4 linked regions of the Schizosaccharomyces pombe genome follow. The gene in region 2 interacts genetically with the main gene of each other region. Each region holds a gene or a part of one and is shown on either strand. Other genes may lie near its edges.

Region 1 (3,544 bases), on a different chromosome or scaffold from region 2:
TTATATTAGACTTACGATCTGGCTCTCATCTTTCTTCTTTTACGTTTGAGACGACGCACGCGTTTTTTCCTCCATTTATCACGCATCTTGGCAGTGGTAAAAATGTATTGTAGGCCACATGTTAGATATACGAAAATGTGACTGTTTCTTTGGCTCTGGCATATGAGATAGCGTCGTGCTATATGCAATAACATATTATAAAAAGTTCGTTAATTAAGTTTGCTGTCAGCAATACTACACTACGCTATGATACACTACGTTGAGTATCACTATATGTCACATGTTCTAATTATATATCGTACCATGTATGATACGATATGGAGATTGATCTTAATGATAATCTATTAAGATCAATATTATCTGAATACTATAAATAGAGCTACTGCTGAACCTCGTTCCTCAGTTCAGTTATGAGCTATATTAGTGATAGGTAACATTATAACCCAGTTAATACAATACCTATACTCAGTTGCTACTTATACAACCTGTGTATTGTAATATAATAGATCACAAGGAAAACTCACCGCAGTTCTACGTATCCTTAAATTAGATACCAAACTGCGTAGCTTACATTTGCGTAATGTTTAAATTCCCTTTTAAGCTTCTAAATAAATTTGAGATTCCACTGTGGTATGTCGCACTAAAGCTGGAATGATATTGCTTTATAAGTAAATTGATGGAAATACTGTTAAGTAGCTGGCTTTTAGTTCAACTGATAAGTTTCAAATGCTTTAGCAATGAAATTTCAAAATTCTGTGGAATTGATCGCAACTTGGACTTCAATACGTACTTACGTTGAGCACAAGTACGAATTCATTTTAATTCCACAATCTTGAAACGAAGAATAAATTGAATAGCATTTATCCATTATTTGTAATAATGAAAACGTTTTTTTGAAAGAATAAGTTATAAAGCTATTTTATAAACTTAAACTCGTTTCGTAAAGTGTTTTAAAATTATGCGTTGTTAAAACATACGCAGAAATGCAATAATTTATCACTTAACAAAAATAGCTAAAGGTGGGCTTTTAGTTTCGAGTAAAGATTGTTATTTCCTAATGAAGTTCTCTTTAAATTTTCTTCCATTCTTCCCTTAATGTTTTGCAGAGGCGTTGTTCATTTTAATTTTGAAGAAAGAAAGTTACCGTTGAGGTGCGCATGCTTACGGAAGCTAGTGGTAATAGAAATTATTTTATAAGTAAACTGTATTATATGGGCAAAATAATCTTTGGAAAAGTCGTACGCTCAAAAAACTTGCCTAAAGTGTTGTTAAAAACTTACAAATTCAACTAAAAAGATACAGTTTAATTATTAATAGAATGAACAACAAACGTACTATGCCAATACAAAACCAGTGATCTGAGAAAACTAAACAAATAAATTTTGAGGATATCACGATGTAAAGAGTAGCCCTCCTATCCTTCGTAATTTCAAGACATTTTGAGAATAAATAGAAGTAAAAAACCAAATAAGAAATTATAGGGAAAAATTATGCTGCAATGATTATAGGTGCTGTAGAAGCATCGTTATCAACTTCCATGAATTCATCTTCATCATAGATCACCCGGACAATCAAGCTGCAGCTTGGGCAACGAGCAACATCTTCCCCTAATTGAAGATCTTCCTAAATAATGAATTAGTATAAACTTCCAAAATATTAAGAAATTGCGTATCAATACATACCAAAGATATCTCGAAGCGATCCCCACAAGGACAGGGAAAAGTGTACAAGTTCGTACCGGCGTCTTTTAATTAGCAAAAGTATTCAACTTTTAACAAATACATACCAAACGTGAAATCTTCTAACTCGATTTCGTCGTAAAATGACATTTTGCCGCTTCAATGCACTACTGGCAGAAGGTGCGTGGCCACTCCACCAAAAATTTGTTTTATATGTGGGAACCGCCCATAATGAAAACTACAAGCTAAGTTTAACATAAATGGAATCTACTGTAATTTAGAGGAGAACGATACTTACTTGTTACCGTTTTGTTGTATTTTTTAAAACGTCCGCCTATATTCATTTAGAAACTATAAATGCGTTACAAATCTATGTTGAGCAAATTTGATTGTACAGTTTTTATTTTCGCTTTATTACATGAGAGGAATGAGTTATAACATTACTCATGAATGCGACGCTATTAATATTCTATCAGATAATTTACATGAAGGAGCAATATCAGAAGATATGGTTGCCCTCAGTGGTCCAGCCATAGAGTTACTAGAAAATAATGTTGGTAGTTCAAAAAATAGCTATCAAGAAGATGAGGGAAGTTCTTCGATTGATGAGAACGCGCCTCTTATAAGCATAAAACGAAAGAGGAGAATTCGTACGGTTAAATCTACTTCAAATAAAGAATTAGTGCAAAGAAAAGCATCGAAACCTACTAAACAGAAATCTGTTTTCACACCACTTGAGCAGCAATACTTAGAATTGAAGAAAAATTATCAAGAAACTATTTTGGCAATTGAAGTAGGATATAAGTTCCGATTTTTTGGGAAGGATGCAAAAATAGCCTCTGAGGTGTTAGGAATTAGTTGCTATTTTGAGCACAATTTTTTAAATGCTAGTGTTCCCTCGTATCGTATTGACTATCACTTGGAAAGACTCATTAATTTTGGTCTCAAAGTTGCTGTTGTTCGACAAACTGAAACAGCCGCTCTCAAGTCAACTAGCTCTAGCAGAAACACTCTGTTTGACAGACGAGTTGCTCGCGTGCTTACCAAGGGGACTACTCTAGATGATAGCTTTTTTCGCTTTGAGCAAACACAGCATGGTACACTACAAGCTTCCCAATTTATCCTATGTGTTGCAGATAATGTTGATAAGAGCAAAGCAAAATCAGGAAGAGTTCAGGTTGGACTAATTGCCATACAATTATCATCTGGAACTACTGTTTATGATCATTTTCAAGATGATTTTTTGAGAAGCGAATTACAAACAAGACTTTCTCATTTTCAACCTTGTGAATTGATATATTCGAACAAGTTATCTTCCGAATCGGTTGCCCTACTGAATCATTACGTATCAACTGAAAAAACTTGCGGTAGAGTAGTGCGTGTGCAACATGCTGTTCAGCAGGACGTGAAACTAGCATTGGAGAATTTGCAGGACTTCTTTTCTTCTAAATGCATCATGTCCGGTAGCAAAATTATAGAATTACACATGGAAAAGGTGAAGTCTTTACATTCTCTTTCAATCATTTGTTTGGACATGGCCATTTCTTATTTGATGGAATTCTCATTGGAAGATCTATTCGTTGCTTCAAACTTTTATCAACCTTTTGATAGCATTTCTTCTATGGTTTTAAGTAAACAGGCTTTGGAAGGTCTTGAGCTTTTCGTTAATCAAACAGATCATACACCTGTTGGTAGCCTATTTTGGGTGTTAGATCGCACATACACAAGATTTGGACAAAGGATGCTTCAGAGATGGCTTCAAAAGCCTTTGGTTGATAAAGAAAATATAATCGAGCGTCTGGACGCGGTTGAGGAATTAGCCTTTAATTCTAATAGTCAAGTTCAAGCAATTCGTAAAATGCTGT
Region 2 (3,335 bases):
GCGACTGCGGCAACAGAAGAAATGCTACGTGGCCATCACAAACCGGTAGAAGGAACAACGGCTACTTCGGAAAAAGAAAGCATTAAAGAAGAAGTTGATTTAGAAGTTAACGGTGACGGGAAAGTTGAAGCGGAAGAGAGAATAGAATTGGAATCTTCCGATTCAGAGAAAGAGCTTTCAGAGCTGATTGATTTTCTTAAAAGAGAACACCCACCGGAAGATACTCCAGAAAAACGAGTAAAGATTAAAAGAATTAGAACATTACTCGACACATGGCAGCAGGAGTGGAGAATTTTAAATAAAGCCATTTCAAATGCAGAGTCAAATTCTGGGCGAGGACAGAACTCCAAAACGAAAACTACTTCTGTAAACTTATCGCGAAACAAACGAACGAGGACTTAAGAATGTTTAAAAGCATTTTTTTTGTGGAACATAATTATTAATCTTAGAATTACGAGCTTTTTATTTGGAACACTACTGAGTCTAATTATTTAAAGAAAATTATCAAACAACAATATTTGTATATAACGTTTACTCATTTCCCAACAAAATTAATTTATAAATAATAATCAAAAATGAACCGAATTCCCTGTATACTTAACCATAATAGTAATAAAATTCCAAAACCAATGCTACAATTCGATAAATGCAGTATGATCAAGTGTAGCCATTTACCTCCTTTTGAAAAGGAACAAAACAGTTACACAAAAAGAAATACCAAACGACTCAATGCTTTCCCTCCTTTAACTCCTTGGCACCAGCTTCACCTAATGCCTTAGTAATTGTCAACTTGCCCACTTGTTGAGACGCAATTCCGGCAATTAGTTTCTCATTGCGAACATTTAATGTTTTTGTAATGTTCTTTAAAGATATTAGCAAAAAGAACATATATAAAAGTAAATTTTAAAACATACCGCATTAATTGTATGGTCTTTGATAGCAGCTGCTCTTCTAGGGGCACAATAACGAGCTAAAAGTCAAGGTTAGTAATGAGTATTAATGATGAATGATAAACCATATAATATGATATCTTGTATGCTTAAGAGTAAAATGATTGAAACGTGTATCAAAAAATTTAATGAAAAATTTTACTATAATGAGTATCTAAAGTTACGAAAAGATGAAGAGTTTATAGCACCACAAAGGTTGTCCAACAACTTCAATGAGCTTAAAATATTAAAAGAAACATCCCTAAACCAAATTCCCTAGCATACAAAGATCACCGAATATTTGACAGTTGCAGCTGACATACCGCCTTTTTTAGGATTCTTGGAGTGTTTTGTAACACGTCCGCCCTTGTTGGCACTACTATTTTTCTTCTTTTTAAATTCTCCTTGTGCCATTGAGTTACGATAAATGGTAATGGTTATAGTTTGGTGTAGTAAATGAATTTTCATAGATACTTTGAAGGTAACATTAGAAGGAGGTAACAAACATCGCCATGAATACAGCAATAAGTAATACATACAAGTGGCATTACAGACTAAATAATTCGTTTTATAAGCAAATGTATAATGAGGGAATTGTTATACTGTTAATGTTACCGTCTATAAAAAAAGTGTACCTTTAGAAAGATCGGAATGCCATAAAATGTGAAAGTTAAAGTGCAGTGTTTCCCACAGTGCAGAATGATTTAAGAAATTAAGACTTTAAAATTCATTAAAAAACACGTACGTTTGCTAAATGATTGCTTCAAACATAACGAATCTTTTTTTTTAAAGAACAGGCGAGATCATAAAAGAAAACATTAACCTGCACAAGTAAAAGACAGATTAAAGATTCAGATTGAAAGGGAAAACGCCAGCAACCGACAGGAAATAAAATTTTTTAAAAAAAATTTAGTCGTCGGTGATGGCCAGCTTCAAATAGAGACCAATTATAATACTTTTTGCTGCTCAAGCAGAATCTTGAAATTACGACCGTCGTCCAGTCGCACGGAAAACTTATTGCGAACAATAAGTAACGTTATGCGGATAAACTATACAACACGCTTTACTTCGAAAAGTCGCTTTAAGTAGAAAATTTGGAATACACATACGGAAACTAGAATAACGGTTTGAAGAATACTCCACCACTTGACGCGGTCATTTGTGCTTTCAGCAGTATTGCGATGTATTCTTTCACGAGCCACAAAATACTCCTGCTCATGTTTTACCTTGGAGATGGTATCATGGAGTTGGCGGACCTTGCCGAGTAAAGGATTGTTAGCATCCAAATCTTCATCAGAGATATATATAACACCATGCACATTGAATAAAACCTCCTTTGATTCACCATCGAGTGCATCCTATTGATGTTGTTAGTTAAGATTGTACATCTAGCTGTTTCCGGCTCAACCATCAAACAATTAGACGACATGGGAAATGACGACCATAATGCCAGGCTTTGATGCCAGAAAACAAAAAGATAACACATACATTATAGAAACAATACATGTATTTCCCTGGGTTCTTAACGGTGAAAGAATATTGGGCCATAGAGTTGGGAACCTCTTGATGCATAATTTGACCCGCAGGATTGTAGATACTCATAGAAACAAGCTGATCACCACCAACGTTTGTTTGATAAGTGACAGACATTTGATCATTATTCCTCAAATTTTCATAGAAACATTCTAAGTTTGCTTCATTAGCATTGTATACTCCATGAATCTCAACACAAATACACTGAAATTACATACCTCGTTGATGCGGTTTCAATGTAATGCCATGACCGAAAACAACAGATATAAAATAAGCACATAACACGGCTTTAAATACGTTAAAAAACGCCATTTTGCAAAGTAAAGCTCTTTGCTCTTTGAAGCAGCAAGAATGAGGTCTATGGTAGAGGAAACGTACAAAGCACTAGTTGGAGGGCAACCGTGCATAAACAAAGCACAACTGTGAAATTAGGCGACGCTACGTTAAATTTGCTTAAGAAAAAATACGATGTCTTTATAAAAAAAACGTAATACGGTATCTTTCCTTATTTCTGTGGAAATTATTAAATCATTCTTGTCTTCAGAGTATAACTAGTAATTCTCCAAAACTTCGTTTATTTTGTATTTAACTTATTATTGAACATCAATTCATTTTATTTTTTTTTCTCTCCTATTAATTAGGTTTTGCATGAACTTGCCATTTGTTCGAAAACCTTTACTGTTGTATTCATAATATTTTTGCCAACATTTTAAAGCCACACTTTGCTTGTCCTCTCTTTCTTTGAATTTTTAAAAAAAAATAATTGTTTTACCATGTTTCAAGTCATCCAAAAAGAACTTGATTTTGGGAATGCAATGATACCAAAAGTATGGATACAAGTCATAAAGCTGAATCCATCCTCTTCTATCTTTG
Region 3 (4,080 bases), on a different chromosome or scaffold from region 2:
TAACACTTCTGCCATCATCGATATATATGCAAATCAAGTGGAGTGATTTTTGCGCAGACATATCCGCTCCGGTATCATAGCATGAAATTCTCTCATCAAAATGTGTTAACTTGTAATATGATGCTATTAACCTACCTTTTTATTATATATAAGTATATATAACAACACTATTAGAAGGGAGAAAAAGGGATTCACTTTGAGAATGGGTTATGGGAGTGTTTAAGCTGAATCGGACGGTGACGGAGTGATAACGATCAAGAACATTCCTATTGGCTTACTTGGCTAAGCATCCTGAACCTATCTGCAGCTACTAGAACTACTCACATAAAAAAAGTTAGAACAACATAACAAGAAAAAAATTTCGCATTGCTTGTGTTGATTTTATAACCGCCATGGAACAGGGGGGTATGCTGGACACATTCAATCGTTACTTTACAACATGTAGGGCTGGTTACTTATAAATTTCCTTAAAATGAGGGACGCGCCTGCCGGTGCATAGTTTAAATATAAATATATTAAAGCAGTAGTTTATGTAATACATATTGTATTTATCAGATGAGAATTCTATTGGTATTTTAATAAACCTATAAAGAACAATATAAGGGTTAAAAAATAACAAGTATTAGTGCCATTAATGGCAAGTAGCGTTAAGAAGAAACGGGTCCGGTTTTTTTGCGATTTGGCAGAGGTCGATTTTCGGGATTATTTGGAGTCCAATTACCTAATGAATTGGTAGCGTAAAAGTCCATAGGATAAACTTCCTTCCAAGGAACAACATTAAAAGCAGCAGATGCTTCATATGGTGTCAACAATGGAGCGGGAAATGCATAGCCCCAATCTATGGAAAGCCTTGGACAAGCGACCTGAATCCACGCGTCAATATCAGAGAATTGACCCAATCTACTAGGAAAAATTTCTGACATTAAAACGCAAACGAAATCTTTATTATTTTTCCTTAAAGTATTCTTTAAATTTTCGAGTACCTTAGGAGACCCCTGTCGACCCAGTGTACCTTGAATTAGACCGAACTTTTTAGCGGTACGAGCTTTCTCAACGGCGGAATACCGAATAGATTTCATTTCTTCATGAGCATAAGATTCAATAGAGAGCTTATGTGAGTAAGGATCATAGCGGTATGCGGGCAAATCAGGATTAGCAATCATGACAGATTCCAAATGGAATCTTCCGTCACCAATGTAAATTAATGCATCTACAGATCCTTTTTCAATATAGGGAGATGTACATCCCAACGCCTCTCCAGGAGATAATGGCTTTGCTTGTGGAATAACAACGTAAAAACCTCCCTTTCCGTCTTCATCCTGTATTTGCAAAGCGTCTTTTATAGAGTTGAGAGATCCAACAAATTGGATAGTTCCAACCAAAGCTAACCTAGAATTGGAGGGTAGATTATGTTTTAAAGATGATACGACATGTTGCAAATCTATCTTTATATCCACGAAAACATATAGCACCTTTATGGGCGTTTGATCAACAGGTATAAGACAAGAATGACCATAGTGTACTAAAAAATCGCAATCGAGTGCCCTAGCTGTAAAATCGTCAATACAACACGCACCGTATGTAACGTCGCCCATCACAATTGTCTCGACCTGGCAAAATTGTTCAAAAATATCAGACAATATACAACCAAACATCAATAGCCCCTCGGGAAGTTGCAAGGCAACACGTTTTGCTTTTCGTAAGCGAATATGCCAAATGGTTTTGTGAATTTCAAAATTGTAATTTTGCGGTAACTATTAAAGGTTAGCTGACCAAGCTTTGATGTTTTTGAGAAAAGAAGAAACTAATTTACGGCATCTTTCTCTAATAAAAGCAGCTTACCAATTTTATAGCTTCATTAATTGCTTTATCGTTTAATATATCCTCTGGGATTTGAGTAGCTACTCGTCCAGCGCTCCTCTTGGAGTTAATAGTGACGAGAGCAGCATTTTCAACATCTCTATTAGAACCATCCAAATTATTTTCCTTCCTATTTTTTTTGCCAACAAAACGACGTTTTGGAATTGATTTTTTCACTTCCGCCATTGTGTTTTAAAATTATAAAGTCTATTACTAAAACCCTTTGAAATCCCAAGAAGTAACCAATGCTATGTATGTATTTAAATTGATAGAATGCCAAAAATCCTTTTTCCCTGCAAATTGCTTGTTTGTTAAATTAAAATACAATAGGATCCCAAATAATTTACTAAGTAAAAAAGCATTGCACTTTGCTATATTATTTAACACACGTTGTTATATTACGCTATTTCTATCGGAGGTTGGATCCACGAATACAGCTTCACCTCCGATCATAGGCCACGAAATTTGAACGGCTAACGCTCCTTTAGATTGTTCCAAATTAATTTGCGTGAATAAGCTAAAGCTGTTTTTAGTCACAATTGAAGTTAAATGACCTCTGTCATCCAAGATGAAATTCAGTCATAGGTTTGTTGCATCAGTTTTCACAAGACTTGTTCTAATTACTTTTTAGTCTTCAATTTAATGCAGTACCGGAATGGTCCGAAAGCTACATTGCGTAAGTAAACAACCTGTTGGATTACTTCCGATTTTTGCTAACAATCGGTGCTTAGTTACTCGAACCTTAAGAAGCTGTATGTTTGAAAATTCTCGAGCTTACGACTGGCTATTATGATATATCCTATATTCCGACAAATTCATACTTGCGAAATTTGGGATAATGTCTGATTAACAGCCGGAGAATAAAATTGTACTTGAATTTTGCTAACATATATTTTTAAGTATTTATTCATTGGAACATGAACAGATAACATTACAACAAGGCGCTCCAGATGAAGAAACTAGGCTGTTAGAGCACGAAAGAAGATCACCCGATGATCGCTTTATGTTTGCTTTAGACAAGGAATTACAAGGAATTGTTGAATTTTATGCTCCTAAAGAAAAAGAAATTGCTGATCAGTATGGTAGAATTAAGGGCGAATTTGAAACCTATGAGAATGAGTATATGAGTCAGGGAAACAACATTAATTACCCTACCCCTGAACGATTACAAAAGAGCTCAGCGAGTAGGAAATCTGGTCGTATGGCCCGCAGCCAAGAATTGCCTCGCATTACTTCTTCAAACCGTGAGATATATCTCAATGGGCAAACTAGTGATGGAGGTTATGCGGCCCCTGCTATATCTAGAGCAGAATCTACTGCTATTCAACCGTCTGAACCTCATGATGTCGATACTTCTAAAAACGGTTTATCAAAAAAACAACATTCAGAAGCTCAACCTGAGGTACAAGGCAATGATGATGAGGTGGAGGAGGAAGATGATGATGATGATGATGAAGATGAGGACGAAGATGAAGACGAAGATAACAACAATAACAATCGATGGTTGCTTATTGAACAATATCCATCTGATATTGTTGCGTACGAAAACTTCGTTTCTTTAAAGCGAAAACTGACACAGTTGTATGTTTCAATTCATGACTTGATTTCGTACGTCCATCTTAATTATACTGGTTTTTCAAAAATCTTAAAAAAATATGATAAAACTTTGGGTAGTAGCCTTCGTGAATCGTACATGAAGCGCGTCAACCAAGCTTACCCTTTCCTTCCTGCTACTGGGAAAACATTGTCAAAGCGTTTAAATATTGTTGCAGAGTGGTATGCTAAGCTATGCTGTCAAGGCGATACATTTGTGGCTATCCGTCGCCTTCGTGGTCATCTTCGTGAATACGTTGCATGGGAAAGGAACACTATTTGGCGTGAAATGATGGCTATGGAGCGTCGTACTCAGGCCGCGAGATTATCAGGACTGAAGCCTGTCGCAGCTGATGAGAAAGAATCAGAACAGCCCCCCTATTTTACAATCAAAACTAAATTTGGTGTTTTTAGAATCCCAAGATGCTTCTTTAATAGCACGATTGCAACTTTAATTACTATTATCGTTATATTTATTCTCTTATTAAGTTTTCCTGTCATAGATAATAGGGAACAGAACAATTGTTTGGCTTTGTTAGTAATGGTTTCTTTATTATGGGCTACGGAGGCTATTCCTTTGTTCGTTACTTCGTTTTTGGTTCCTTTTATGACTGTGTTTTTGAAAAT
Region 4 (3,555 bases), on a different chromosome or scaffold from region 2:
TTCTCCGACTCGACAGAACGCTCGAGCAACAGCTATCGCTTCTTCATCCAATACTGCAGCATCGTTCCGTAATCGTCAGCAAATATCACATCCTCCCCTTGGTCGAACCTCGTCATCTTCTGTTCTCCCAACAGGACCGGCTTCTCAGTTGTACGATATGTTAAGCGGCCGATCAGAACGTCCTGAATTAGGAAATATTAGAGAAGAGGATATAAACACTGTCCAAACGATTATGCAAACTTCTAGAGCTCAAGCTATCCAGGCCTTATCTCAAACTAACGATGTGCAGAGAGCTGTAGAATTGTTATTGGAGCAAACAGCCGACTATTAAACTGTTCTTTAATCAAGCGATCACAAAACAACACATTTCTTATCTTCGTTCTTTCCTGTTTAAAATTTTGCTAATTTTGAACATCATTTCTTACCATGAATTATTTACATTTCCTACATAGCAATTGTTTTGTCCCATTTATCATAAGCTAATTGTTTACTGTCAATGATTGCGCAAACCTGTGAGTGGTGAAGGTTTCTAGTCTTTTATTTTTTACTTTATTCGTAAATATGGATCTGTAGTAATCGTTAACGAAAAAATTTGGTATTGTCTAATAGCTTTATTTCAGGAAATTTCAATGTAAAATTTAGTTCATTCATTGATCAAAGGTAGTAGACTAGAAACTTATCAAATCTATGAATTTGAAAATTCAAAGCTACTGCCAAAAAGAAACACAAAAATAAAATAACAAAACATCACACTTTCCTGGTAATTGATACTTTGTTAGCTGGATAGATAGATGAGCAGGGTGTTTTCGTAATCGAGCATAACATGTTTAAGGACTTAACGGTTGGAATAACGAGACTCGGCCTCTTTCCAATTAATCACATTCCAAATAGCTTTAAAGTATTCGGCCTTACGATTCTCGTATTGAGGATAGTAGGCATGTTCCCAAGCATCAATTCCAATAATGGGCTTGGACTTGACAATCGTGTCTTGGTTAGCAGTAGTAGTAATACGGAGACTACCGTCTTTATCCACGATTAGCCATGCCCAACCACTACCTTGGATGCTAGCTAAGGCGGCATTCATTTCCTTCTGGAAATCCTCCAAAGAACCCCATTTAGAGGTTATAGCCTTATGTAAAGATCCAGAGGTGACGGGTTTGCCACCACCTTCCTTTTGAGGTGCTAAAATCTTCCAAAAGAGAGAATGATTGATGTGACCACCGCCATTGAATTTAATAGCAGCTTGAAGGGCAACCTCTCCCTCCAAATCGAGGTTGGGATCGGCCAGCTTCTCCTGAGCGGCATTCAAGTTGTTAACATATGTTTGGTGATGCTTGTCATGATGTAACTTCATAATCGTTTCCGACAAAGCAGGTTCAAGTGCCTAAAGCTATAGTTAGTAATCATCATTAACAAATTAACTAGACAGTGGGAAACATCCAAAACTTATGATTGCTTCAGAACCCATCAACATGAGCAATTGCTTTTACAACTATTTATTGCATACATTGTAAGCATAAGGTAAAGGGGGAAGAGTAGCCTTAGTATGAACTCCCCTGGCAATTGAGACGTTCCTAATAGCGGCTACAGAGTTCTTAGACAAAAAGCGAAGCATCGTTAAAATGAGATCAAAAGTAAAAAAGTAATAGCAACCAAAGTGACCAACGAACAAAGTAAACCGAAATGTTTTCTTTGTTAAATACCTTAACTTATAACTAAATTGTACGGTTTGATTGAACAAATCGTATATGGTAGAGGGAAAGTATGGAGTAGGGTGAAAGGAGCCTATATAAATTCTCGAAATTACGTCTGGCCTATGAAATGTCTGGAGAAAGTCATTTCCGAAATATTACACCAAAAATGTGGTAAACAACAAATTGTGCAACTTGTTAATGAACCATTAAGAACTAGTTTTATAGAGTAGAATGTGAAGTTCAACGTATCTTCATTTCACCAACTTCTCAAAATTCTCTGCATTCATTTAGCAATCTTCATTACTCTAGGTTACTAGATTATAGCAATGTAATAATATTTACTACGACATTATTATCAAGCAAAAAATTTTGGAAGGTTTTGTTAAGTGCAAGCAATTAATGGTACTTGAACTTATAGAAATGACAACTCAACAAATGTTACTGAAGTTTAAAAGGGCAACTTCTTTACATTGAATTGTTAGAAATGATTTTACAATACCGAATCAAGAATTCGGCGAGTGCAACTAGTAGTGTGATTAGTACATTGTAAATATTTTATTTTTTCAAATTGACTTCTGATGCGATTGAGTATTGATGCAATTGAAAAATCCGTCCTGCAACAAATTACCCTTATAAGCACACAATGAAAAAAGAAACAGCGGCTCTACTAGTTAAAGGGTATCGAAATCAGAGTTGAAGGAATTGCCTTTGCAAAATAGATAAGTAGTGCAGCGAAGCGGTAATAACGAGGAAGTAACTCGGCAAATATTTGTACAGTTAATAAAACTGTACTTGAAGTTTAATATTTTCAACTTTCTATACAAAAATTGATTGATATTCATGAGTTACGCAATTCGCTTTTTGAACCAGAAATAAGCATCGGCTAATTTTAGTAGTTAATTATACATATATTTTTTTCATGTATTTTATATTGTGTTTTTTTATTTTTTAGGTTAATTGCTTGTATAAATTTTTTGTGTAATTTTTATCGTGTTTTTTTTTATTAATGGTGCATGAAACTTCTTTTTCTTTTTCTTTATTTTGGGTGAGACAAAGTGTAACTCAAAGTATAATTCGCGTTCTAGCAAGTATAGCTACAATGTGTATTTCCCAATTTTTTTTTTTTTTTTTTTTTAAGGAATAAAGATCATGATTGCATAAAATAATTTGTTCTTTCCTAATCAATTGGCAAATATCAATGATTATTGATTAACGATATTGATGCATTAAACAATGTAATCGTTAGGAAGTTCAAATGCTGTCATTGAAATTATTCATTTTTAAAGAGCTATTCAATTACAATGGAGTATGTAGGTTAGTAGGTGCGATGATGGGTATTTATTTACCTTTTCATCAAAAACAAAAAAATTTACTAAGTTACCATATGACAAAACAGTTGCAAACCGCAATTAATGTAGTCCTTTTCTTCTTACTAAAAATTTTTGAATCTCAGCATTTTCTTATAATAAATAAGCAAGTGTTTTGAAACCCCAAACATTGTTTTTAGATTTACATACCGTCCTTTGGTTAAGTAATTAATTAATTCATACATCTTTAATTATTTCAACAGTAATTTCCACAAACTCGATAAAACTATATCGTCATAATCATTCTGAAAAGATATACTGTCTTTTTCAAACTGTAGACCCGAATCAGATTCTTAATCAACTTATTTTAAGCATGAAATATTACTCGCTAACAAATCTACAAACTAGGAAAACAGGGAAATTAAAAAATTATGGATAGTATTAATAACTGTTCTCTGTCCAAGCTTCGTATTCTATTATTCAGTATAATGCTCTTTGTTTACCTACTACAAATTAGTATTTCTCGGATCATAATACTTTTGTTTTGTACAGAA

Evidence for each region.
Region 1: mutations in SPOM_SPCC24B10.18 (region 2) and dph3 together harm fitness more than expected from each alone (negative genetic interaction), as found in Schizosaccharomyces pombe (one large-scale study listed by BioGRID).
Region 3: mutations in SPOM_SPCC24B10.18 (region 2) and dph1 together harm fitness more than expected from each alone (negative genetic interaction), as found in Schizosaccharomyces pombe (one large-scale study listed by BioGRID).
Region 4: mutations in SPOM_SPCC24B10.18 (region 2) and sod2 together harm fitness more than expected from each alone (negative genetic interaction), as found in Schizosaccharomyces pombe (one large-scale study listed by BioGRID).

What each region holds. Positions count from the first base shown.
Region 1 is NC_003424.3:2,853,834-2,857,377, forward strand, and holds dph3 (diphthamide biosynthesis protein Dph3), read right to left. Parts: upstream 1,862-3,544; 5' UTR 1,830-1,861; coding exon 1,787-1,829; intron 1,745-1,786; coding exon 1,683-1,744; intron 1,624-1,682; coding exon 1,489-1,623; 3' UTR 1,336-1,488; intron 1,258-1,335; 3' UTR 572-1,257; downstream 1-571. Other genes in the region: rpl4102 (60S ribosomal protein eL41), read right to left, coding at 16-86; msh3 (DNA mismatch repair protein), read left to right, coding at 2,098-3,544.
Region 2 is NC_003421.2:930,030-933,364, reverse strand, and holds SPOM_SPCC24B10.18 (uncharacterized protein), read right to left. Parts: upstream 1,371-3,335; 5' UTR 1,344-1,370; coding exon 1,253-1,343; intron 971-1,252; coding exon 915-970; intron 862-914; coding exon 727-861; 3' UTR 518-726; downstream 1-517. Other genes in the region: protein Nts1, read left to right, coding at 1-402; COPII-coated vesicle-associated protein Emp24, read right to left, coding at 1,979-2,287, 2,418-2,614, 2,681-2,774; proteasome assembly chaperone Pac4, read left to right, coding at 3,236-3,335.
Region 3 is NC_003423.3:3,385,272-3,389,351, forward strand, and holds dph1 (diphthamide biosynthesis protein Dph1), read right to left. Parts: upstream 2,174-4,080; 5' UTR 2,047-2,173; coding exon 1,843-2,046; intron 1,755-1,842; coding exon 648-1,754; 3' UTR 531-647; downstream 1-530. Other genes in the region: plt1 (phosphate transporter), read left to right, coding at 2,429-2,445, 2,492-2,536, 2,592-2,612, 2,761-4,080. UniProt on the Schizosaccharomyces pombe protein: Catalyzes the first step of diphthamide biosynthesis, a post-translational modification of histidine which occurs in elongation factor 2.
Region 4 is NC_003424.3:3,183,530-3,187,084, reverse strand, and holds sod2 (manganese superoxide dismutase), read right to left. Parts: upstream 1,754-3,555; 5' UTR 1,616-1,753; coding exon 1,508-1,615; exon of another isoform or gene 1,385-1,507; coding exon 836-1,384; 3' UTR 501-835; downstream 1-500. Other genes in the region: Golgi Dsc E3 ligase complex transmembrane subunit, C-terminal UBA domain Dsc2, read left to right, coding at 1-331. UniProt on the Schizosaccharomyces pombe protein: Destroys superoxide anion radicals which are normally produced within the cells and which are toxic to biological systems.